Linked DNA regions of Rattus norvegicus. The protein of the gene in region 5 purifies or fractionates together with the protein of the main gene of each other region. This does not show direct contact. Links are inferred from orthologs where the notes say so. Each region holds a gene or a part of one and is shown on either strand. Other genes may lie near its edges. The genes, in order: Cdc26, Anapc2, Ttk, Anapc11, Cdc27, Anapc7 and Cdh1.

Region 1 (4,204 bases), on a different chromosome or scaffold from region 5:
TGTGGGGAAAACACAACACAACAGACCATGCCAATCTAGGGCAAAAACAGAACTCTAAGGAGGGTCCTTCAACAGCACTGCATGAGCATCTAGCCGAGGGTGGGCTGCCTAAGAGTGGCTAGGGATCTCAATTCCCTATGGGAAAAGGTGTCTTAGTGAATTTGAAGGGTAGGCAGACAGACTTAAGGTCAGAGAAGTTCATATGGAGAATGAAGGTTTGTGTTAACAAAGCCCATGTTTGTTTCAGAACAAACACTTGAGCTGGCAGCACCCGGTAGAGTGGGCCCTGCAACTCACCTGGGCAGCAGTAGAGCTAGCCCCGGTGAAAGGCGTGGATGAGGTAGTCCCTGAAGACCTGAGAACAGGAGAGCTGACACTCCCCCTTGCCAGCTGTGGCACTGGGTAAACTAGCTGGAGCAGTGTTGGAGAGTTCACCCGGATGGTGCAGATACAGGTGGCAGGCTGATCAACTCAGCTACCTCCCAGGACCAAATCCAGGGCTCTGAGTTGGCCCACCCCAGCATCTACCCCATCTATGATCTGCACAAGCTGCAGGGTCACATCTCCATGACACAGGGCAACAACATATCTGAGAGGAGTCCTAGTGAGGTTCCAGTATAGTGTAGCAAAAGCCAGAGGCCCTAAAACAGGCCCATGACTCATTGCACTGAATGAGCATTTATAAGTTTAGGTGTGTGGACAAACGGGTATACTCCATGATACACCATGATGTGCTACAGAGTCCATGACAAATTTTTGTTTATTCTATCTTATTTTCTTATTGTAGGGGGGAGGTTGCAAGGGCAGATGCAAAGGGACAGGGAGATGAGTGGGACTGGGGTGGATGATGTGATGTTCACAAAGAATCAATCAAAAGTTAAGAAGAAAACCTAAGGGGTTGGGGATTTAGCTCAGTGGTAGAGCACTTGCCTAGCAAGCGCAAGGCCCTGGGTTCGGTCCCCAGCTCCGAAAAAAAGAAAAAGAAAAAAAGAAAACCTAAGCTGACTTTAGTATCTGTTGAAGGTATTGTCTCTATGTCCTCCACAGCATCCACAACAAAGTAAACTGAGCCATAAAAAATAGAGAAAGTGAAACTAACTTTTCTTAAATTCTAGACTCTCCCATTATTGGTTTTTCTTCTCACTTTGATAACTCAAAAGTTTTTGCCTCTTAAAAAAAAGTTTGTTCTATTTATTTGTTGGGTGCTGGTGAAAGCACATAGCCCACAGGCAGAGGTCAGAGGACAATGTCTGGGAGTTGGTTCTCTCCATCTACTATGTAGGACACCACACTTAGCATGGGCTCCTTTACGACTGAACCAACCCACATTCCCATTCTTTATATTACTTTAATACAGAAGCCTTGGGAAGCTTGAAAAATTATTCCAGTTTTATAAAGTTGAAGCAAACAGTTTAATTAACAAATTCAGAAGCCGGGTGGTGGTGGCACACACCTTTAATCCCAGCACTCTGAAGGCAGAGGCAAGCAGATCTCTGTAAGTTTGAGGTCAGCCTGGTCTACAGAACATGTTCCAGGGCATCCAGGGCTACACAGAGAAACCCTGTCTTCCAAAAAAAAAACAAAATAGCCTCCTATAAAAGTTACTCATAGACCACTAGAATAAAAAGTTGTGATAATGATCTTCGTGAAAGTTCCGCAAAAAAAAAGTTCCGATATAGTGTGCATCCATATAAATTATTATTGCATGCTAGCAGAATGAAACAAAAGACTACGATGTATACGAAACATTTACACTTCTTACACTTCTCTCAGGAGTGTCACATTATATCACATCTCAAGGGGCCATATGGTCAACACAAAACACTGGCCTGTGACAATTCAAACTGCTTTATTCTATCAGATACTACCTTCTACCAGATCCCTAAGTAGAGAAATGGAAGCCAGCTCCAAAGAGAAAGGGAAGAAATACTTAAGAAAAATAATTTCCTACTTGGGTATGAACTGAAAGCCTCACCACTAGAGAGCAACAGTGAGTACGGGTTAAAAGCGCGGCAGTCCACCCGCCACATTACTAACCCTACTACACTGTGGCTCCAGAACGACGGATTACCTTTTCTCACCAGAATTTATTTTCTGATCTTTACTCTTGTTGTCCCGCGACTTAAATAACTAAGATAGAATAAGCTCCTTGCGCGTAACGTGGCATTTAGTAAGCCCTCGAAGTGGAAGTGCTCTTCTAACTGGAGTTGTTCGGGGAAGAAAGAGGCTTAAGAGTGAGAATGAGTCTGTTCAGCTCAGCAAACGCGAATATTTTGCAATCCCCGCAACTTTCATGTAAGGGTTTAAAAAAAAAATATCTCTGACGGCCTAGCAATCATTGCAACTGCAGCTGCTGGTATACACTTTATCTGGCGCCTCCCTGGACCCTTTATTTCAAAGAACATATAAAAAGAACAGGCTGTAGACAAGTAAAACAACAACAAACTAGGCCGCAGCTCCTCCACCACATCTCTATTTTAGCCTTAGAAGGCTCTTCGAGTTTAATGTCTTCTTAAAGCACAAAATCACTTCGTAGCCACCCAGTTACCAGGGGCCCCCGGAGAACTTCCGTCGTGAACAACAGTCCTCTTTCCCAGCTCCAATGCTGCAGAAGTCTAGGGAGAGATTTCAATGGCAGCACAGGCCTCGGTTTCAAAATGACGGAAGGCCTCCCGAAGGAGAGCAGAGACCCTTGGTTTGTTCCAGATTAGACTTGCGATTCGCAAACTTACCTCTTTTCAGGCCTCTGAAGCTTCCCAGAACCTCAACTCCCACCTTGACTCCATTGCTACGCAGCCCGAACTACACTTCCCAAGTTGCTCTGCGCCTTTTTTTCCCACGCGCCTCTTCTCCCGAGAGGTTGTGCCGCTCTATAAGGCCACGCCCATCGATGACAGCCGACACTTGGCAACTACCACTCCCAAGATACTTCGCGACTCCTAGAGCACGAACTGGTACATTTCCGGCCAGTGACGCACTTCCACTTTGCTAGGCGCGCGGTTCCCGGTCTGAAAAGCAGAACGGGATTTGGCTAGGGCCTCGCGGCTCCAGAGCCCGGCATGGCCTCCTCACGAGCCTCCTCCACGGTACGGAGTTCCGCATCTAAGTTCATGCTTATCCTCTCCTAGGGAGGACGCGGTCCCCGTGGGAAAGGGCCGTTACCTTACGGGTCCGGGCAGAGGAGGAGGAGGAGGAAGGCTGGGGGACCGTGGTGTGGACCTTAGCAGCCTTTTCCTGATTTCTAAACGCCTAAACTGCAGCTCTTTTTGCACTGCTCTTACTTAAGCCCTGAGCAGTGAACAACACTTTTTCTGACTGCTCCAAAGCACAGTTCTTTGAAATCGGGCAGTGTCTTGACGTAAGCTGTACGACTGGTACTTATGAGGCCTCCCAACTTCTAATAGGCTCTGAAAGTATTTGAAATGTGTATTCCAGTAACATTGTGACTTGGTGCGCCGAATTGTTTGGGTTGTTTTGGGTGTATGTCCAGTGGCGAGAAGTTATTTTCGTAAAATCGGAGATTGCATTTCGAATAGATTAAAGTAACAGGCCCCAAAACAAACCAAGACATATCAGACAGAAATTGTTTAATTGTAATTGTGTGCCAAATTTAACGAGAGCGTGAGCTCGGCGCAAAGTCACTTTCGACTTTGTCCTAGTTGTGAGAGGAAATAAAATGAAGGCTCAGCATTTCCTTCATTCTTTTGGAAAGCATGGTTTGCTAGGACCAAACCTTAATCGGGGTCTTTGATTTAACAGACAACCAAAACTAAAGCACCTGACGATTTAGTTGCTCCTGTTGTGAAGAAACCACACATCTATTATGGAAGCTTGGAAGAGAAAGAGCGGGAACGCCTGGCCAAAGGAGAGTCTGGGATTTTGGGAAAAGAAGGACTCAAAGCCGGCATTGAAGCAGGAAATATTAATATAACGTCTGGTAAGATGCAAGTTGAAAATCACACACCCCCTCCCCCCCTTTTTTAACAGTGCTAGGAATCCAACCCAGGGTTTTTTGCATGCTAGGCAACTGTTCTGCCACTGAACCACATTCTCATCTTTCCACTACACTCTTGCCTGTGACCTCACACTGCTTCTGCCTCCTCCCTGGTACTAGAATCAGGTGTACACGACTGTGCCCCTCTGATGAGTCATGTTATAGGATCAAAACTTATTGGTCTGGGAAGCTACTTCAGGTGCCGAAAGC
Region 2 (3,500 bases), on a different chromosome or scaffold from region 5:
CCATGGCTATACAGAGAAGCCCTGTCTCAAAAAAAAAAAAAAATGTTCTAGAGAGGGAGGGAAACTGCTATAATTGTTTGTACATTGGGGAAACACATGAAAGTTAAAGCCTAGATCTGTTACAGCCAATGGGCTGTAACGATATGGCAGGTGAGATGATGCTGGTGAAGGTTCAGAAGAGAGAGTTACTGCACAGACTGTGGAGAATAATGTTGGTAGAGATGAGGACATTAAGAGGACCTTCTGGTGAGAGCGCAGATCGAAGTGAGGAACAAACTAGACGCTGGGGGAAGCTGGCAGAAAACCACCAGGCTGTGGCCAGACGTTCGCTGAGATGAGTGTGACTTGTGACTTGTAGATCCACTAGAACACACAGCATGGCCAGGAAGATACCGCTTCCCTTTCTTTTTTTTTTTTTTTTTTGAGCGGGGGACCGAACCCAGGACCTTGCGGTTGCTAGGCAAGCGCTCTACCACTGAGCTAAATCCCCAACCCACCGCTTCCCTTTCTTTTCCTGTTTTTAAAGACAGGACCTTACTCTGTAGCCCTAGTTGCCTTGAAACTTGCTATGTACAGCAAGCTAGCTTCAAACTAGGATGCTGCTGCTGTGCTCACCTTCCAAGGCTGGGAGGACAGGCGTCACCAGCTCAGGACCACGCCGTTACTTGATAAATTGGATACTGCACATTTCATGGAAAGCACCAAGGTTTTGAATGTTATGCCAGCAGCAGTGCTGACCGTGAATGAAGTGACAGCAGCACGGGAGAGTACACACGGGGCTGCAAGGCAAGCCAGGTGCCAAAGCCTGAGCCAGACTGTGAACTCTGCCTGCTGGGTTTCAGATTTGCTTTCGGCTCATGATCCTTCTAGGTTCCTTTGGGAATGCCCATTTCTGACCTAGGCTTGTTTGAACAATGGACTCTGATCAAAACAATGTCACAGCGTCAAGCTGGACACGAAACCTGCTGTCCTACTACTTTAGTCTCCTGAGTGCTAGGATCATAGACATGTGCTGCCCCCCTGGACTAGAAGAGACTTTAAGAACTGATGCTGAAGTGGTTAGCATCAGTTGGGATGCTACTTGGGAGATACTGGTATTGGCTAATTTGCTCCTGGGAAGAGTAGTAATTTTAGAAACTACAGACTGCCATGGGTCAAACTGTATCTCTTCAAAGAGACAGTAGTAAAGCTCAGGACACTGACTGTCCAGTGACACTGTAAGTCCTATCTCCAAATGTGGCCTTATTTGGAAACAGAGTCATTAAATAAGTAATCTGCTAAAATAAGGTTGTCCTGCAGTAGAATTGGTCCTTAATCTGATTATAAATGGTATCCTAAGAAGAGAGGAACAGACAGAGAAAACCTGGACATAAAGACATGTATTTACCACCTGGGCAAGGGTGGTGCACACCTTTAATCCCAGCACTCGGGAGGCAGAGGCAGGCGGATCTCTGAGTTGGCGGCCAGCCTGGTCTACAGAGTAAGTTCCAGGACAGCCAGGATTATACAAAGAAACCCTATCTCGAAAAACAAAATCAAAACAAACAAACAAAAAGTCCATTTACTTAGGTCTGCTAGGGCTCCTGCGAGAGGCAGGAAAAATGGTTTCCCTAGAGCATCCTGGGGCATCACAACTCAGCAATACAGCTCTAATCTGGCAAACCTGTGTCTGCAGTATGTCATAAGGACACCCAGGACACTGGTACCTCTGACCTAGTGGCAAAACTGATGGCCTGAGACCCTCTGGGACCCCTGTAGCTCTTAACGGAGAAGTATACCAATAAACTCACTCTACAGATAGAGAAACAGGCAGTATCAATGGCTTCCCCTGGTTTCATCCAGTTTAGCTATCCTAACACTGGTTCTAAAGCCATGACCTGAAAAAGGGTCACAATACATCACAATATATGGGCTGCATAGTCAGTCACCCACAAACCCAGCCAGATCCTTTAGGAACTTGGCTGGTGAAAGATAACTTTATTGTGGCCACAGGCTTGCCCTCTTAGCACAGCCCTAGGGTTTACCAGAGCCATTCTAGTACCACCAAAAATTGAGTCACACTAGTGTATGGCCATCCTAACTCTTTGGATCTGATCAACAAGACGCATCTAAGTCATGTCTAGGACCCAGGGCAAAAACTTAGCAAAGCCAACGAGGACCTCATACCAAAATAGGTCAGAGGAACAGTAGGAGAGGACACTGAGTACACAGGACTGGCCAGGAAGTGGTAGGGCTGTGGTACTCAACCAAAACAGGACATACTGGTGACCAGTAACCACACTTTCACCTGGTGTCAGTAAAGGCCAAAGACCATATTTAGACTCTTTCAGAAACTCAGCCAGGTAGCAAGGTTCTCACGGCTACTGACACAGACACTCCCCTTCTTTAATTTCTCCAGTCAGGGCCTCTGACTGGATTTTGTTGCCCCTCAAGTACTCAAAGGGATCATCCAGGGGCACAGATCCTTAGCATGAAGCCACGTAAGGTCTTCTGATCCCAGGAAGAAGCACGAGCCTCAGCACTATGCTCATCAGGAACAAGATGCTGCAGATGCCCCCATGGCACGCCTGCCTGAGGCGTCAGTGTCCAGCCTGACCCGACAAGGCTGGCCCCACATTTATGTATGACCCAGAGTAGGACGCTTGCCCCACCTGCGTTAGACTCTTGCCTCCCATGTCATAACTGACACCAGCTCAGGAAGGATCCTTGAATTTGGCCATACCACTCCCTGAACTCTAACCTCTACACCATTAGGGCTCAGCTGTGCTACCTGGACATGGGCTAATTCTATGTGGGGTCTGATGGTCTGATCAGAGACACAAACTACCCAGAGGCCTACTGGCTGTACCTTCAGTTTCTCATACTTCTTGCAGTAAACATCCAGGGCTGCCCTGATGTCCTCAGGGACCTCCAGCTTCTCATCTTTGAAGGGAGGCCAAAATTCACTGGACAATATGACGGCATAGACCCCAAATGGTGGCTGTTCTTCCACAGGCCGCTTCTCATCCTCCTCACGGATATTGGCATTGATGCGGCGGGAATCTGCCATGTCCTAAGAAAGGATACCTCATCAACGGCCTGGGCTTAATGGTGATGGTAGGCACAACTCTCGGGGCAGTCCTGGGTATTTACCTTGAGCATGACCTCACAGAAGTGCATGGGGGCTTCTCCAAAGCGCAGCTTCAACAGCTCCACATTACGAATCTCCCTGCAAGGACAAGTTTCTGTGAGGGGCTGCAATGTGACTCCATTTCAACTGATACCCTAAGCAGACAGCTGGACCAGACAACCCACCTGCTCAGGAAACACTGGGCTGAAGGGAAAGCAGGAAGCAAAAGACTAGGGCCAAAGTTTGGTCATTCTGGCTGTTGAGGTTTGGTCTTTGTTATGTATTGTAATGATAATTACTGCCCCCACCCACCCACCCAAAGTCTGGTTGTCTCAGGGATGAGGAGATCCTCATGTACACCAAGTGATGATATGTGTAGCCTTGCTCCTTA
Region 3 (3,500 bases), on a different chromosome or scaffold from region 5:
TGCCTAAGAGAGGGAAAACAACTGTTATTTGATGCAGGACCCTTTGCCCACTATTCCCAGCTCATTGATTCATTAAGACCTAGTGGAAAGATTAGACTGCTTCACACTACTGCATAAGCAAATACACAATTTCTCACTTATCACACAGAGTTAAGTCCTCTTTCCCAATTCCTGCTCACCACTGAAAACCATTTAGAAGTTTAATAAACTAGTGCATACACACACACACACACACACACACACACACACACACACACACACTACAGCAATTAGAAGCATCTTGAGTACTCTCCATATTAAAGCAAACATTTGTTATAATATACTATTCATAATAACATTTAGTCATCAAGAGTGAAAATTTGCTAAAAACTTTTCTAGCAAAAGGATTTATTAAAAAAAAAAAAGTTAGAGGGCTAACATCTGCTGTTAAATTAATCTATGCCACTGCCAAAATACAAAATAACTAATACAAAAGTTTATTCAACCAGACGTTATCAAATTTCCTTTCAAATACAAGCTGGATCTTTAATAGTTGGTAAATGTTCAATGTGTACATCACGTAGCACACAGGATGATATCAGCAGTCACGGAATTCACGGGCTACAATGCTATACATGGCACTTAGGGTATAAAGAATATCATGTAAGAAAGACACTTCAATACCTAACCACAGGAAAAGACTTTCTGAATAGAGTCCTACTTGCTCAGAAAATGAGAGCCGAACTGGCAAGCAACATTAGAAAGCTTCTGTACAACAAAGGAAATAGCTAATCAAGTAGAGAACATGGGTGTTCTTTGCCAGCTATGCATCTAATAGAGGCCTAATATCTAAAATATACAAAGAACTTAAAAAACTAAGAAACGAGAAAATAACCAAATCAATAAATAAGATAATGAAAAGATAGTCATGAAGGAAGAAATACAAGTGGTCAATAAATACATGAAAAAATGTTTAACTTCACTAGGGAAAGAAAAATGCAAATCAAACTACATTAAGAATCCATTTTACTCCAGTCAGAATGGGAGTCATTAAAAAAAAACAAATATAAAAAACAAACAATAATGCTGGATCAAATGTGGACAAGAGAGAAATTGTAAGCATCACTAATGAAAATACAGACTAGTCCAACCTCTGTGGAAATCAGTACCAAGGTTTCTCAACACACCAGCAACAGAGGAAAGAGATGAACCTCCTCTGCCTCTCCCACATGTTTGTTTACTCAAAGGACTGCAGTGCAACGTACCACAGGGACCCCTCACCCCAGTGTTTACTGCAGCACTGCAGAGCTGGAGAGAAGGCTCAGTAGTTAAGAGCACTTGCTGTTCTTGTAGAGGACCAGGATTTGGTTCACAGCACCCGCATGGCAGCTCACAACCATTTACCAACTCCAGGGGCCAATGCCTGCTTCTGACCCATGTGGGTGCCAGGTATGTATGTACATGGTTTAAGTACATACATGCAGGCAAAATACTCATAGACATAAAAGAAGAAACTATTTACAACAGCTAAGTTATGATGCCAATATAGATATCACAACAGAGAAATGGATGACAAAAATGTGGTACATACACACAATGAAATCATTTTCAGCCATGAGGAATAAAGTAGTGACTTTTGCAGGAACATGGATACAACTACAGACAATCACATTAAGCAAATTAAGCTAACCTTAGATAGATGTCTTTTTTTTTTTTTTTTTTTTCCGGAGCTGGGGGCCGAACCCAGGGCCTTGAGCTTCCTAGGCAAGCGCTCTACCACTGAGCTAAATCCCCAACCCCGATAAATGTCTTTTTTCCTCTTTTATGGTCCTATATTTTGTACAGTAACACAAAATCATATATCCATATCTACATCTACCTATATCTGTACACATATACACATACACACACATATATGCAAGTAGAGGTGAAACTGTCTAGGGCAGCCAAGGAGATTAAAGAGGGGAAGGGAGGGCAGAAAGAACTGAGGGCAGGAGATATGCTCAACATCCCACATATGCCCATAAGAAAACCTTTAAAAACAAGAGATAACCTCTTACTCACAATTTACAAATTTTAAAGAATATATGTTAAAGATTAAATCCCTATGTTTACTGAGAATAGTGACTTAGAGAAGCACCAGTAATTTAGGGTCTTATTAACTCAGGTCAAAAGTCCATTAGAGAATCAGATACAGAACCTGGGAAGCCCTTTCCCTATACATGCACACGGGAATCAGGCCACAGGCCTCGTGAAGCTGAGGTAGCTCCTAGCACTCTATCCACCCACCCTGTTCAAAACAGTCACAATTTTGATCTGGTGGCCGCTGCCAAACTTCAGTGATGTAGTTGTTTTTATAGTCAGCTCAATTTATTTGTTCTAAGATGTAAGAATTATAGTTACTACTGAAAGGCCACAGGGTCTTTAAAGCCTGACCAGATCTGCCATAAGAAGCAAGAAAGCATCAGTTTTTCTAGGAAGGAAATGTATGCTTTACACGGACACAGCTGACTACATATTTAACTTACTGGCTTAGGAATCCCATAGGTAAACTCCGAATTCTCAAACCATGTCTGTGTTACACAGTATTTCCCTACCTCAATTCTGGGGAGCAGCCTGCAAACCTTACTTTAGGTACTGTCAGAGGGCCGCTGCTAGCTGTGCTGATGCTCAACTGCAGTACACGAAATCAGAATAGCAGCACCAGTAAGCAGAGGAGAAAAAGACTTGGCCAGAGGATACGCTGAGGGCTACACAGGGTAGAAACGTCTCAGGGAAGATGTCCTGCCCTCAGTCAAAAGACAGACTGATGGATGACACGAGCGAGGGGACAGTCCTTGTAGTGGTGTGTGAGGTCAGCAGCTCAGTGTCACAGCATTATCTTAACACGCTCAGTGCTTGGAAGCCACAGCCTTGACTGACTAAGTGCTAGCTAAAATGTCTTATCATCTATTCCACAAAAACTCAACGGACACAAACATTCCTTCAGATGGATCCTGAGTGAAGGACAGAGATGCAGTGTGTGTACTTGCTCCCACAGAACGGTCCTTCTGAGGATAAAGACAGCCCAGAGAACAGTTTACACTTACACCATGGAGCTCTCCACTCCACGTGCTCATCTGATCCCCTGCAATATTTCTGCTTTAATATTTCACTTCAAATCTGTGATTCCATATTAATGCTACAGTAATGTGCTTTCACTCAAAATGTAAACGTGATATTTTCAGATTACCTTGAGACAGTTCAAACTGTGCGAAAGAGACATGCACGAAAGCAAACTTCTTGCAGTTCTCTCGGGCCATTTGGAAGTAGTCGTGAGCATCGTCAGGTTCTTGAATACTGCAACAGGAGACTAGACTCAGACTCAAAAACCAAGAGCTCTCATAACAAATACACTTGGTAACTTCCCTTTTTAAAGATGTAGACTATTCTTTATGTACCATTATAGGAAATGTCCAAACTTAACTCTGAGGGATCTATGTCCACAGAAAAGAATTTACATTAAGAACAAAAGTACTAGT
Region 4 (3,500 bases), about 16 Mb from region 5:
AAATTAAGTTATGAAGACCATAATAAATCTGTTCTAGGACCCTGGGGGCTTTAGGGCACAACAGTCTTACGAAGAGGCTTTTAATTAAAAGTAATTCCATCAAGGCACTAGCAAGTCCTTGCATGAGTCACCCTCAGCGCACCAGCTCACTCATGGATGACTCCAGCTTGCTGCCTGCAGGGACATCTTGAGAACAAGACAGTATCTTCCTCCGAGTGATTACCCACACGGGGGCCAGCTCAGTAACCCCTGTCAGTGAGCTAGTGGGGTCCACGTCTAACTGGAAGAGAGTGTCTTCAAGCAGAGTTCTGCTGAAGTTAGCAGCCACCAGTGGTGGCTTTAATCCCTGCACTTGGCCAGCCTGGTCTACAGAGTAAGTTCCACCAGCTTTGCATAGAGAAACCTTGTCCTTAAAACAAGAAGGAAGGAAGGAAGGGAGGAAGGAAGGAAGGAAGAGGCTTGGTAGATATGACAGACACAGCACTGGTGCCCCCAGGTAGACTGGGTGCCGTGAGGCTCAACTGATGTGAGGCAGGTGCTCTGAGCGCTACGTTCTTCAGTGGGGTTTTCTAGGCCCTGGAAGTCAGGAATGTTTGTTTTTAAACAGGCTCTCATTTCTCTTGAATCCTCTTGCCTCCGCCTCCCTTCCTGAGTGCTGGGATTATCCTCTTAGGTAAGGCTTGGGGAGAATGCAGGGCGTTGGACATTCTGAACAACCCTTCTACTGGTGGAGCTACATTTCCCGTAAACCCCCCCCCCCCAGTGTTTGTTTTTAAATTTTACTTTAAAAAGGCTTATCTATTTTTATTTTACATGTTTCGCCTGAGTGTATATCTGTACCACATGCCTGCAGTGCCTGGGGGAACCGGAAGAGGGTGTCAGATCTGCTAGGATTGGAGTACAAATGGCTGTGAGCTGTCATGTGGAGGCTGGGAACTGAACCCTGGGTCCTGGGCGAGATCAGCAAGTGCCCTTAACTCTGCAGCCCCTGTTAGCTCTGATTATGACAGTCCATCTCGGCTTGGACTTAATCCACATCTCCAAGCCTGTAGAGGGCCTGTGGCCTGGGCCCTGGCTTTGGACGGAAGTAGGAGTTGAGGGTTCAGGTAAAGAAGAGAAGGTTAACAGATGCTGATGAGTCCCACTAGTAACTGTCCCAGAAACACCTATGTCCCCAAGGTCTGCAGTGCAGTACATCTCTGATGTCTAGGAAAGGAGCTTTCTAAGTTCCAGGATGTCTGCAATGAAGACAGAGTTCTCCACTCAGGCTGTGACTTTTCGGCTCTTCAGCACTTTGGTCATTAATGCTGCCTTTCCGTAGAAAGGTGTGAGAGGGGGACCGGAAACCAGTGGGCTGGGCTGGGCTGGGTCTCCCCTCTGAGGACACTTTACTTGCCTCTGAGGGAGTCACTGCAGATTTTTTATTCGAGGGCCATGTCTGGGGATAATTGGGTAGCACTCCTACTCTTTGTCTCTTCTGATGTGGGAGGCCTGAGAGGCTCTCTGCCTGCGGACTAGAGCTGTTTACTAATGTCCCAGAGGCCTGCCTGGCTTGTCACATGCTCAGTGTGTCTTCTTCCTAAGGCCTGTCTGTCTCCCCTTCTTGCAGGTAAGGTGCCTGGTGACGACTGTCCCCTGGTGTGGGGACAGTGCTCTCACTGCTTCCATATGCACTGCATCCTCAAGTGGCTGAACGCACAGCAGGTGCAGCAGCACTGCCCCATGTGTCGACAGGAGTGGAAGTTCAAAGAGTGAAGCCTGCCATGCCCACTCCCTTCTCCCAGCGCTGTGCCAGGCTCAGCCCCACCTTTCCCTTCCCCAGATAGGGCATCCCGAGTCCCCTCCACACAGCTCAGGGGTGCCCAGGGACCCCATTCTGTGCTGGGGACAAGGATGCTTTCTGTTTGGCTGAGACGAGGTGGAAACGAGGACTGGAGCTTTGCTGGGTGTTTTGTTTTTCCCATCACATTGACACTTTTATTAAATAAGTAAAACTCATTAAAGTTCTGAGCCGCTGGAGGCCTCTGCTTGCCTGTTTTCCCTGACATATTGATGCAGCTGCAGCATGTTTTGCTGTGAACACACTCATAAATAAACAGTTTGGTAAAGTATCAGCCAAGACCTTCATCATAATCTGAGTCACAGCTCCGACAGGAAGAGTGGAAGAGACTCGGGCAGGGCCAAGCTGGGCAAAGACTTTAGGGTGTGTTTGTGTCAAGGGCCTAGCAGCCAGCACATAGCCCACCAGCTGCCCTAGTCTTCTGGGAGTCCCAGGATCTCTTCCCATCCTACCCCTAGCTGAGCAAAGCTGGATGCTGCTCCTCCAGAGCCACTGTGGTTAGAGGAAGAGGTAGCTAAGCAGGCACCAGCCATGCCCAGATGACCTTGGAAGACTACTTCAGCAAGCTCTTGAGTCTCTTGCCTCTTCTTCAGGCTGAAAGCAGAGCTGGTGTAGGAGGATGTGGGTCCTCTGGTGTCTTAGGGAAGGACAGCCATTTGGAAACTCCTTTATTCCCATGGCGGTTGTGGGGTGGGGGGGATTATCAGCCATTGGGAAAACAGTAGCCCAGCCCTAGTGTGTTAAGCTCCTGGGTAGAGACCAATTTTGGCTGGTATCCGGGAGTCGTGGCCAGCTCCGCGCCTTGTCTTCACTGACCATTCCCAGTAACACCTTCACATTCCCTATGCGCTCTACAGCCTGGGGAGTAGACCACCATGGCTGGTTCCACCCATCTGTGTCATCATCATGTTTGTTGGCTACAAGACTCCCTGCCACCTCTGTGTGGTGTCCTTGGGGTACCTGAAGCAGACCCGTGCTGCTGGGAAACAACTTCATGTCACTCGGCTATCTATGGCATGCTGGTCTGGAGCTGGCACCAACTATCAGGAGTGAAGAAGGCCACTTCCTGGTGTAACTCAGCCTAAGGATCGCGGAGCGCTGCAGAGGGAGCTGAGATTTGTGGATTTGGAGCTGCTTGGGCGGGCAGGTGTGGTCTGTCCTTGCTTGGTGGCTATGAAAGACTGAGGGGCAGGGTGCTAGGGTCAGCTTGTTTCTTCTTTTTTTTTTGGTTCTTTTTTTCGGAGCTGGGGACCGAACCCAGGGCCTTGCGCTTCCTAGGTAAGTGCTCTACCACTGAGCTAAATCCCCAGCCCCCAGCTTGTTTCTTCTATCTCCAGTCTGCCCACCCCCTTGGGGTGTCCTCCGTGCCTTTTCTAGGAACCTAGGAGTCTAGGAAGCACTCCTGACATCCTTATGCTCCCAGGTTCCTCCGTTCCCCTCAGAGTCCCTCATGGCCACACACGTCACTCATTCTGGGTTCCTTAGCACCCAGATTCCTTATGATGTGCTCATGTTGTCAGCAGCTCCTGGTCCCAGGGTCAACTCCACCTGCTTCCTCCAAAAAAGTCACCTGATAGACCAGCTATAGCTTGTGCTCACCCTGAGCCGCTTTCCCAGACAGGAACAGAAGGCCTTGTAGGAAGCTTACACCATTGGCCTC
Region 5 (3,500 bases):
GGCTTTGGTTCCCAGCACTCACACAGCAGCTTACAACTATCAGGAATTGCAGTTCCAGGGGATCTAATATCCTCCTGTGGATGCAAGCACTCACATATGACACAATTTTAAAGAGAGAGAGGGAGGGAGAAGAGGGGGAGAGAAGACAGACACAGACAGACAGACAGAGAACATGAACTTAATGAAAAGCTGAGCTGAAACTTTTAGAGGCTAAAAAGGTGAACAGCTACCAACTCCATTGCACGCCGAGTGCCGAGCACCACCGAGCCCTGTGTCTGCTGGAGGCACAGGACCCACGACCAACAGACTCTTTCTAAGGCCTCCCCAGAGCTAACAGGTCACCTTTATCTCTCTCAAAATATTTACACTTTCTAAAACCGTGCTTCTTATAAATTTTATAAAAACTTCACATTTATAGGACTGATGTGTTACCTAGTTTTGACACCTTAGTAAGTCAAAATGTTCAAAGTCACAGTTGAGAATAAGGAATATTTGGGATGTATTCATAATGAACATGACAGAAATTAAGGAAAGAACTGTCATTTGACTTTATGTAAGTGGGTACTTGAGAGGCCAGACGAGCCCATCAAAGCCTTAGAGATGGAGTTACAGACGACTGGGAGACAACTGTGGTGCTGGGAACTGGACCTCTACAGGTACAGCAAGTGCTGTTAGCTGCTGGGTCAATCTCCAGTCCTGGGAAAGACCATTTATAAAACTGGAACCATTTGCCCCAAACACAGTGATTTGTCACGCAGAATCAGTTTACTGTTTTTTAAGTCCCCTTGAATCTCTTTAAAAGTTATAAGTGCTTCTAAAAAAACATACAAATTGTTATGTTATATGACATAACAAAGTAATTAACCACACAGAAACCTTTTGGCTTCAAAACTTTCAGAAGCTATTGTCACCTTTCAAAAATCAATTATCAGCTACAACTGAATACAAAAGCAACAACAGGACTAGCAAGTTGAGGCTGGCCTGGGCCATAGATGAACTCAAGGTGGCCCTGGTCTACACAGCAAGACCCTGTCTCTAAAATAAAGCCTGGTGGTGGTGGCACTGCATGCTTTTAGTCCCAGCACTTGGGAGGCAAAGGCAGGTGGATCTCTGAGTATGAGGCCAGCAGGGGATTAAACAGAAACCTCCCCGCCCCATCTCTCTCGTGTGCTCATGTGTGCACACACACACCCATCCGCCCAACAACAAAAAACCCTAAAACCCCCAAAACAAACTAAACTTCACAGGTGATTATGATCTCTGAGAACAAAAAAGAAACTGAAGTCTCTCTCAGTTGGTAAGGTTGGTGTAGCATGTATGGAGCCCTGGATTCAACTCCTACATGGGTTCATAAATTGGGATGGTAGGAGATTTCTGTAATCTAAGAGGGAAGAGAAGAGAATTAGGAGTTTGAGTAATCCTGGCTTATAGAATTCAGGGACAGTCTGGCCTACATGCAACCCTATCCCAAAAACAAAACCAGCCAAGTCTGGTGGTATATGCCTTTAACCCTAGCATTAGAGATGAGGCTGATGTAGATAGCGGGTTCCAGGCCAGCCAGAGCTAAGAGGTGAAAAGATTCTGCCTCAAAAGAAAAAAAAAAAAAGCCTGTTATTAGGACATCTTCAATTAAATATAATATTCTTCATAGCATTAAGTTTATAAAGCACACTAAATGCCAAACATTCAGATCAGTGTATAATTTACATTAACTTGATGATTGTTCTCTAAAATCCTTTTCAAGAAAGCCCACTAAGGTTAGATTCTCTCAATATAAGAAATGATTTTATTTATAAATTATTGTGTCTCTTAGTTTTATATTAATTTGATATAAGCTAGAGTTAATCTAGAAAAAAAAAAAATGGAACCTCAACCAAGGAAACACCTCCATAAGATCCTACAGAATGGTGTTTTTTAAATTAGTGATTGATGGAAGAGGGCCCAGCTCATCATGGGTGGTGCCATCTGTGGGTTGGTGGTCCTGGGTTCTGTAAGAAAACTGGCTGAGCATGAGGAGTAAGCCAGTAAGCAGCACCCTCCACCTACATCAGCTCCCGCCTCCAGGTTCCTGCCCTTACTGCTTTTTTTAAAAAAATTTATTGTATGTGAGTACACTGTCACTGTCTTCAGACACACCAGAAGAGGGCATCGGATCCCATACAGATGGCTGTGAGACACCGTGTGGGTATGTGAATGCTGAGAATTGAACTCAGGACCTCTAGAAGAACAGCTAGTGCTCTAAACTGCTGACCTGAGCCAGCTCTCCAGGCCCCTCACTGCTTTCAATGATGAACTGTTACAAGGAACTGTGAGCAAAATAAACCCTTTCCTCTCCAAGTTGCTTCTGGTCTGGTGTTTCACTACAGCAATAGTAATCCTAATTATGACAGTTATACATACTAGGAAAACAATTATATAATAAATGAATATTAATTGTTAGGATCAGCCTTCAGCATAAAAGTTAAATTAATTCTAGGAAGTATATGTATCTTGGTATATTTACCTGCATGTATTCTGAAAGTTCAAAATAAGCCCGTCCAATCTGGCACAGGACCCAGCCAGTACTGTAGTGGTGAGAAGGTAGGTGGCTCAGAATATTTATAGCTTCTTTGCAGTTGTATGAACACAAAGCTAAATAACCTTTTCCCATTTCACGAAGAAGGCTCATCAAACCTTCTAGGAGAAAACAATATGATAAACAAAGGAGAAAAATACACACAACTTTGGTTTTCTAAAACCGTTAACTACAAACTATTCCTTTAAAAAATTTCCAGTATTTGGGCTGACATGATTGCTTGGTGGTTAAAGGTTCTTGACTGATGACCTGAGTTTGATCCCTGGGACCACATACATACATGTGTACACACACACACACACACACACACACACACACACACACACACACACACACACACACAACCTCTCTCAATGAAATAAAATAAAATGTAATTAAGTTAAAAAGGTTTTTAAAAGGGGCTCAGTTGTTAAAAGCACTTTTGTCCAGTTCCCAGCATTTACACGGTAGCTCACACCATCTACAACTCCCATCCTGTGGGATTCACACCCAATCTGGGCTTCTTTGAGATAAACACAGCCATAGAAACAGATAAGAGACACAAACTTCAAAACATAAAAATATCCATTAAAATAACCTTTAGTGCCAGCATTAATCTAAAAACAATAAGGCATGAAGAAACTTAATCAAAATAAGTATAAAATAAAGCAGAAATACAGGAAGTACAGTAAGCTTTATAAACAGACCTGCTGCTGCCTTTTGTAGGTTAAATGCCTGGATCTGAGGTGTGATTGTGGATATTTTCCCTTCTGAAATGATAGAAGAGTCCAATTTTGTAATTTCCAGACTATCGTTTATGTTGGGTTGAGTTATTCCTCCTTTATTAGTTTTACTTTTTGTTTTTCTGTTTGGGATTTTAGGTGGAAACTTCATTTTTAACTTTTTGCTATTCTCCTGTGGAAAGGAATAAAATCCAGGCTTATCA
Region 6 (3,766 bases), on a different chromosome or scaffold from region 5:
GGTTCAATTTGTGGCTGAACAGATTTTGCCTTCTCTCAGCACTGACTGGTGAGTGGGGCTGCTGGCGGGGTGGAGTCAGGAAAAGCACCACCCACATGCTGCTTGCTCAAAGGGAGCCTGAGACTGCTCAGGGCCGGCTAGTGTGGAGGCTGAGGCTCACTGACACACTTTATGAGACCTGGTCCGCTTAACTTATGTCTCTTAATGCAAATCTTGCAGTGCAGCCCAGCACATTTGAACTGTCTGCCTCTGCCTCCCAAGTGCAGGCTTCCGGAATGTTTCCACCAGACTACGTGGCCCACTTCACTGCACTGACAGATGCTCTGAAATCGACTACGGATTCTTTACAGTAAACCTCATTTCTTCCTAGCACACCGATCTGCATCTTGAAAGGCACCCAGGAGGGACCTGGAGTCGACCCATCCCCAGTAGCTGAATGAGACTCTAGGCAGATGATCAAGGCTGACCCTGCCCTCAGGGACTCAGGAAAGAGCCAGGCTGGTTCTGTGTGACAAGCTCAGGGCTCTGCCTCCCAGCACATGGGAGAATAGGGAGTATATGTATGTCAAACTGTCTAGGCCTGCATGGCTGCCTCTGACAAGGAGGAAAAAGGAAGAGTCTCAAAGGGTGTCCACTGTGACATGTGACACCACACTGGGCAGTTTTATTAGTTGAACCTGCCCTGGGGTGGCCATGCTCCCATCATCTGCTTCTCAGATCTGCCCACTGAGGCCGAGCCTGCTCTGCAGTCAGTGAGGCACAGCCCGCCCCCCCCCATCCAGAGCTCCATGACTACAGGAGTGTGGCCGTACCAGGATGTGACTCCCAGGGACCGAACCTCTGACAGGGCCACCCAGGGGCATGTGCTCTTAAGAGGATGGCTCAGTCCTATGTACCCGCTCATAAAGAGAAAAAGCATCTTCCATTTCGTGCAGCCGAACCATCCAGAATGGCGAGTCTGTGGCTCGGAACTCGCTCAGTCCACAGCAAAGCAGACGGACAAACATCAGTGCCAACTTGAGGAAACAGGCAGAAAGGCCTGCTGTGAGCACACGTCCAACAGCTCCTGCCACTCTAGGGACACAAGGGTCACCGCTGTGCCCTCACTGCATGCCAAACCACTGCTCCTGGTCAGCCCACTGGGCTGCCTCACTGTCGCTACCCTCCAGGTCCCCTTCTTCCCCACTGCCCTCCATGTCGTCCACGTCGTCCTCCTGAGTGGCGTCTGTGGGGCTCCCCTCCTTCTCCATCTTCTGCATGCCCTCCAGGGACTTCTGGTCATTGGGGTCCAAACTGAGGAACAACAAAACAGAAGACAGGCCTGAGTCTCTGCCCTGCTTCTTGGGACTGTCACTGAGCTGGCCCAGCAGATATGACTAAGCCAGAGACGTTGCAAACAACTGTGCTTCCATGGCTGGACCCAGGGAGTCCATCAGAGATGAAAAGGGACATTATTCGGAGTTTTAGAACTTTTAACTTGAAGGGGCCGGAGAGGTGGCTCAGTGGTCAAGTGCATCTGTTGCTGGGTTCAGTTCCCAGCACCCATATATGACTCATGACCAACAGTGACCCCAGTTCCCAAGTATCTGACACCCTCCTCTGGCCTCTCTGGGCACCAGGCACATACATGGTCCACAGACATTCATGCAAGCAAACCCATCCACATAAAATAAATTAATAAACAATTCACTTTAAAATGGCAATTAAAAATTCTAACTTCAAATTTTCCTCCAAAAAGTTTTTAAAGCTCCTCAAATACCAAGCCCTTAACTCTCCTGTAGGCAGTGGAGGCAGTGGGGGAAGTGGAGGCAATGGGAGGCAGTGGGGGCAGTGGAGGCAGTGGGGGCAGTGGAGGACAGTGGAGGACAGTGGGGACAGTGGGGGCAGGGGAGGCAGTGGGAGCAGGGGAGGCAGTGAGGGCAGTCGGGGGCAGTGACCAGACAGAGCAGCGGTGCTCGCAGAAGGCCTGGTGCTTGAGGCCAGGCACAGGACACAGCCCAGCACATCCAGGAGGGAAACAGGATCAGGACACCCGGGCAGCCTCGGGTACATGATGATTGCATGTAGCCTGCCCCAGGCTGGTTATTCTTCCATGTGACTTTATACCGTGGACTGCAGGCAGCCACCGCCGTCAACCATGCTACACTCTGGGACAGATCATAAGTCCTGAGGCTAGGGGCTGGACTAAGACAGTTTCACTAGTAGCAACACCATGAAGCCCAGAGCCCAGGAGCCTCATTTATTTGGCTCCTAAGAAAGCTTTAAAAGAAAAGTCCTAGAAATTTACATTAAAAAATTAAATGTATTATTGTGTGTACACACACACATTGTCTGTGCGTTGTGTAAAAGCCATGGCGCACACGTCAGAGGACAACCTTGGAGTCAATTCTCTCCTTCAACCTTTACATGTGTTTTGGGAATCGAACTTGGGTCTGCACGATTATGTAGCAATTATTATCTTGATACCCCTAGTTAATGCCCAATGAGGTAGGTATAGACAGGGAATTGGTTAGTATTTGACCAAGATAACAGGTAGAAGCTGTACTCAAACTTCGGAATTTAAGTTTTTAATTACTAGAGCAGACAAAACCAGAAGCACACACTTAGCAAACTCTGATCATAAAAAGCAGAATGTAAAATATGTACTCGGCATAAGCCTATGACGTCATGGGGGTGTGGGCAAGCACAGGAGAGCCGCACAGATCAGTCTGGGTGTTACTCTTATGTGGGCTGGAGAAGGATGATCATCTCTAATTCTTCTAATATGCTTTAGGAAAATATGTCAGGAGTCATGAATTTGCAAATACCTTCTCTCATTGCTATTCTTAGCCTGCCTTCACCTTGGGCACAGCTGTCTGCAGAGCTGCCTGGGCCCTGCTTCCTTTCCTCTCCTCCCCATGGAGGCCGGGCACCTACCTCAGTGCTATGCTATACTGGTCCATTGCTTCCTGGTACTCATTCACAGACACCAGGAAGTCCCCCAGGATGCGGTGCAGGACGCAGTCGCTCTGGTTGGCCAGTGCATTTCTCAGCAGAGCAATTCCATCTTCGTACTTCTGCTCCCTGCCTGCAGAGAAAGACAACCTTTACTGCTCAGCTAGTGCACAGTCACACCCACTATGACACGACAACTTTCTCAGAGACCCCCTCAAAGGGGCGCTGCAGGGGTGAGGGGCATGTGGTCTCTAGTTCATTGGGAAATGACATGAGTACTGTGTCTTTAAAAACCATGCATCCATGAACTTATTTATACAGTGGTGTGGGCAAGCACACACAGCACATGAGAGGAGGTCAGAGGACAATCTATCTATCACGCAGGTCCTGAGGACTGAACTGAGGTCGTCAGTCTTGGTGGCCTCTTTACCCAAGCCACTGAGTCTGTGCCCTGAATCTTTAAAAAAAACTTTTTTTTTTTTTTTTTGCAGACGAGCTGTCCTGGAACTCCTCTGCAGACCAGGCCAGCACCAGATGAGGCCAATGGCCCTGAACTAGAACCCTGAACCAAAATACCCTCTTGATAGCATCAAATAAACTTAGGAATATGCCAGAAGCAAAAAGAACAAGAGAATCCAGATAGCTCAGAACCAAACTGACCAAAGTCAGCTGTAACACACTAAACGAGTTCAAAACTAAACCAACCAGATGAGTTCACCAGCTACCAAGTAACGTTAACTGGTGTAAACCAACCTAAGCAGGTCTAAGCCACATCTGGTGTGACACACACAGCACTTCAGGCAGGTGCAGGCAGAACTGCTCCACCATCTGT
Region 7 (3,500 bases), on a different chromosome or scaffold from region 5:
CCTTCTAGGTCTACCAAATCTTTGCAAGTAGACTTTGCTTTTGTCTCGGGGACGTAGGCCCAGGAAGGCAACATTCCTCACTGGAATGGTTTTCTCCTTGGTTCTGCGTTAAGAGATGCACTTGCCTTGGCTCACGGTTTTGCCTACTTACTTCATCGATGAAGTTCCCGATTTCATCAGGATTGGCTGGACGGGGACGATACTGGGGCATGCTCATGAGGGTGGGAGCCACATCATTTCGAATCACTTCCGGTCTGGCATCAAGGCCCCTGTGCAGCTGGCTCAAATCAAAGTCCTAGAGAGAAGAGCAGAACATGACAACACGTGATAAAGAAGCATCTGCATTGCACAGGGCAGGGTTTGCTTCATGGCATCACAGACTGTGCCTATGGAAAACGCCAAATGACCCCCGAGTGACCAAATGTATGTAAAATGGCATTTTGCAAATTAAAAAGTCTCCTAACTCAAACTGAAAGAAAAAGGAGACCTTGGGGATGGCATGAACTCAAGTTATTGTGTCCTACTCGTTTCATGGGACATGATTATCAGGTTATCACTTGGCAAACACTTAGTCCTCCCCACCACAGCCGATGCAAGTAGTGTCCTGTCTGTCAGCAATGGGCTCTGTCATGTGAGGGGCTTGAGGCAATAAGACAGCAGTGATGCATTCCTACTGCAACTCACACGAGGCTCCCACGCAGCAGACCTGAGCACAGGATGCGGCTTAGGGCCTTTCATCTCAATTCTGCGAGATTAGCAGTCCTCACTGATTTACAGACGTTGTGAGCCTCGATGTGATCAACAAACACTGCAGCAAACACTAGAGTGTCTGGAATTCTTGTGACCATAGAGGTCTGTGCTCCATAGCCGTACAGCAGGGTGAATGAAGTAGCCTACATGACAGACATGTAGCCAATGAAGTAGCCTCAGTCAGACATGAAGTTCTCCATCTTTAAAACCCACCTGGTCTTCTTCTCCACCTCCCTCTTCATCATAGTAATACACATTGTCCCGGGTATCGTCATCTGGTGGCAGCAAGGGCTCTTTGACCACCGTTCTCCTCCGTAGAAACAGTAGGAGCAGGAGGATCAGAACTGGAGACAGGGAAGGGAGGGAGGGAAAAGTGATGAGTCACAGGCAAGAAAGCAGAGGAAGCAGCCATCCCGGAACCACACAGTCTTACACCACCAGGCAGGCGGCGGGTGGGTAGCCACCTGAATGAAGACTATCTCATGTTCAGTCAGAGGAGACCATTTCTCAAGAAACAATACAACAGAAATAATAAACAAGTGTGACGTCTGGCTCCTGATACCACTTATGCTTCAAACATCTGATAGGAGAATTTCCACTTTAGCCAAGTCTAATAAAACATATCGACTGCCCCCCAAAAAAATTTAAAAAAAAAAGGTCAGGTATGTTCTCAATAAACAATTAAAAAATAAAACAAAGCAAACAAACGAAAAATCCCCACAAACCCTTGATCATTGAAATCCTCACGGCATTGGCACCAAGCCCAGAACTCTCTCCAGGTAAAATCAGACCAAGGACTATGGACAGAAATGACAGATTCCCTCCAGCATCTCCATTCTCTTTCAATTTTTCAGCCATGGATTAGATACCATTGTTCACTTGACCCTCCATCTCCACTGCCTCCCAGACATTCCATGGGCTCTCGTCACCCAGTTAAGAGCAAGAGCTCCCAGGGTTCCTTGTAACTTGGTATGGCTACATTTGAGCCAACGAGATGCAAGTGGTGGCGACATCTACAACTTGCAGTTAGGTGGCCTCTACTTCCTCTTTCATCTGCCCTCCAGGATGGAATGCAGAGGGGGTGGTTAACTGGCCGCTAAACTATGCTACCGAGAATAGTGTGCGATACCCTTGCTGCCAGCTCAGCATTTCTTGGGGACTGGTTTAAAATGGAGCCTCTGCGGAGTCCTGCTAGGAATGCTGGGTCTAAAGTCCCACTTTACTGAGGGGCACAGGTGACTTGCATGTCCTCAATCTAGGGGAGCACAAAGAGACAGAAGGCTCCCGCACCCAACTCCACGTCATCACCAGTTTGCTCTGTACTCCAACTACCAGCTCCTCTTAGCAGATGGTCCTTCCCCGTTTTGAGGCACCTGCGACCTGGACTTACTCAGGAGGGCCAGGATCCCTCCCAGGATTCCAAGGATGGCGGGAACTTGTAATCCTGCTTCCAGGGAGATCGCCTTCATGCAGTTGTTGACGGTCCCTTCACAGTCACACACGTGGACCTCCAACGTGGTCACCTGGTCTTTATTCTGGTTATCCGAGAGCTTGAGATTGATTTTGTATTCGCCAATCTCTAAGTCCTTTCTTGGTTGCAAAATGAGAGATTCTTGTTCTGGGGAAAGGAAAAAAAAAAGAAACGATGGAACCAGGGGAGGGGACAGAATGAATAGCTCAGTGGATCAAAATGTTTAGGGAACCAAAGTGCTGGGCATCCAGTGCTGGGGGAAGGAACTGTTTGGAGCTCATATTACTGTGCAGTATGTCTCTCAGAGGAATAGGAGTGTGCATGAGATGTGTAAGGAACTAGGGCCGAATATCAAAGGGAAGGGTGAAGCGGGACTGGTAGAACCTCTCTAAAAACAGTGAGCCTTCACACCTGCGTCATTGTACTCAATGGTCCAGTTGACGCTGGCCCCATGGGTGAGCTCTGCAGTGAAGGGGGATGTGTTTGGGGGAAGGTCTGGATCCAAGATGGTGATGACATGGGGCTTCGGGTTTCTCTGGCAGAACTGCATATTTCGAGGTTCTGGGATGGGAGCATTGTCGTTGACGTCTGACAGGACCAGGAGAAGAGTCCCTGTGCCAGTGGCAATGGGTGAACCTAAGAGAAAACAGAAAGGGTGTCACAGCTGAAGGATAGTGACAAATGATGACTTAGCTTATCTGTGATCCCTCAGCAGGTTCCGAGCAAACCAGAGCCTCTGCCCTTGTCTCAGAATTCTGACAAGTTTATTGCACACTGTGTACAATGAGTGTATTTCTCATTTCAAAGGCAGCTTTCTTCTCTTCCTAGTCTATTACTCACACATTTTAATTCGGGGGTGGGGGGTACTGTTTTGTTGTTGTTGTTTGTTTTTTGAGACAAAGTCTTAGCATGCTGCCTTTGGAATTACAATCACCCTGCCTCAACCTCCTACCAAAGCCTGGCTCTCGCAGATCTTATTAGAAAGTAAGGAAAAGGGGTTGGGGATTTAGCTCAGTGGTAGAGCGCTTGCCTAGCAAGCACAAGGCCCTGGGTTTGGTCCCCAGCTCTGAAAAAAAGAAAAGAAAGGGAAAAAAAAGGTAAGGAAAAGCAGAGTGAGGTAGACTTTCTTTGGAATCTTAGAACCACGCATGAGGGAAGGGAGGGTCACCTCAATTTTAAGGCCTTTCGTGGCTACATGGTGAGTTCAAAACTAGCCTGGGTGATACAGGAAACCATGTCTCAAAAAAAAATTTTTTTTTCCAAAAAAATCTTGGGGTAT

What was found.
Region 1: the proteins of Cdc27 (region 5) and Cdc26 purify together in Homo sapiens (affinity purification with mass spectrometry; 12 studies listed by BioGRID and IntAct, with this or other methods). This does not show direct contact. The link is inferred for Rattus norvegicus from reciprocal best matches to the Homo sapiens genes CDC27 and CDC26.
Region 2: the proteins of Cdc27 (region 5) and Anapc2 purify together in Homo sapiens (affinity purification with western blotting; 20 studies listed by BioGRID and IntAct, with this or other methods). This does not show direct contact. The link is inferred for Rattus norvegicus from reciprocal best matches to the Homo sapiens genes CDC27 and ANAPC2.
Region 3: the proteins of Cdc27 (region 5) and Ttk purify together in Homo sapiens (affinity purification with western blotting; 3 studies listed by BioGRID). This does not show direct contact. The link is inferred for Rattus norvegicus from reciprocal best matches to the Homo sapiens genes CDC27 and TTK.
Region 4: the proteins of Cdc27 (region 5) and Anapc11 purify together in Homo sapiens (affinity purification with mass spectrometry; 8 studies listed by BioGRID, with this or other methods). This does not show direct contact. The link is inferred for Rattus norvegicus from reciprocal best matches to the Homo sapiens genes CDC27 and ANAPC11.
Region 6: the proteins of Cdc27 (region 5) and Anapc7 purify together in Homo sapiens (affinity purification with western blotting; 23 studies listed by BioGRID and IntAct, with this or other methods). This does not show direct contact. The link is inferred for Rattus norvegicus from reciprocal best matches to the Homo sapiens genes CDC27 and ANAPC7.
Region 7: the proteins of Cdc27 (region 5) and Cdh1 purify together in Homo sapiens (affinity purification with western blotting; 4 studies listed by BioGRID and IntAct, with this or other methods). This does not show direct contact. The link is inferred for Rattus norvegicus from reciprocal best matches to the Homo sapiens genes CDC27 and CDH1.

The regions. Positions count from the first base shown.
Region 1 is NC_086023.1:80,872,527-80,876,730, forward strand, and holds the start of Cdc26 (anaphase-promoting complex subunit CDC26), read right to left. Parts: upstream 2,801-4,204; 5' UTR 2,733-2,800; intron 5-2,732; exon of another isoform or gene 1-4. Other genes in the region: Prpf4 (U4/U6 small nuclear ribonucleoprotein Prp4), read left to right, coding at 3,060-3,086, 3,760-3,937. UniProt on the Homo sapiens protein: Component of the anaphase promoting complex/cyclosome (APC/C), a cell cycle-regulated E3 ubiquitin ligase that controls progression through mitosis and the G1 phase of the cell cycle.
Region 2 is NC_086021.1:28,491,128-28,494,627, reverse strand, and holds part of Anapc2 (anaphase-promoting complex subunit 2), read right to left. Parts: intron 3,209-3,500; coding exon 3,133-3,208; intron 3,053-3,132; coding exon 2,849-3,052; intron 1-2,848. UniProt on the Homo sapiens protein: Together with the RING-H2 protein ANAPC11, constitutes the catalytic component of the anaphase promoting complex/cyclosome (APC/C), a cell cycle-regulated E3 ubiquitin ligase that controls progression through mitosis and the G1 phase of the cell cycle.
Region 3 is NC_086026.1:93,641,139-93,644,638, reverse strand, and holds part of Ttk (dual specificity protein kinase TTK), read right to left. Parts: intron 3,319-3,500; coding exon 3,212-3,318; intron 4-3,211; coding exon 1-3.
Region 4 is NC_086028.1:106,380,134-106,383,633, forward strand, and holds part of Anapc11 (anaphase-promoting complex subunit 11), read left to right. Parts: intron 1-1,609; coding exon 1,610-1,755; 3' UTR 1,756-3,500. UniProt on the Homo sapiens protein: Together with the cullin protein ANAPC2, constitutes the catalytic component of the anaphase promoting complex/cyclosome (APC/C), a cell cycle-regulated E3 ubiquitin ligase that controls progression through mitosis and the G1 phase of the cell cycle.
Region 5 is NC_086028.1:89,915,271-89,918,770, forward strand, and holds part of Cdc27 (cell division cycle protein 27 homolog), read right to left. Parts: intron 3,470-3,500; coding exon 3,262-3,469; intron 2,677-3,261; coding exon 2,504-2,676; intron 1-2,503. UniProt on the Homo sapiens protein: Component of the anaphase promoting complex/cyclosome (APC/C), a cell cycle-regulated E3 ubiquitin ligase that controls progression through mitosis and the G1 phase of the cell cycle.
Region 6 is NC_086030.1:39,793,849-39,797,614, forward strand, and holds the end of Anapc7 (anaphase-promoting complex subunit 7), read right to left. Parts: intron 3,068-3,766; coding exon 2,917-3,067; intron 1,294-2,916; coding exon 1,104-1,293; 3' UTR 501-1,103; downstream 1-500. UniProt on the Homo sapiens protein: Component of the anaphase promoting complex/cyclosome (APC/C), a cell cycle-regulated E3 ubiquitin ligase that controls progression through mitosis and the G1 phase of the cell cycle.
Region 7 is NC_086037.1:51,464,678-51,468,177, reverse strand, and holds part of Cdh1 (cadherin-1 precursor), read right to left. Parts: intron 2,858-3,500; coding exon 2,633-2,857; intron 2,369-2,632; coding exon 2,141-2,368; intron 1,095-2,140; coding exon 964-1,094; intron 296-963; coding exon 152-295; intron 1-151.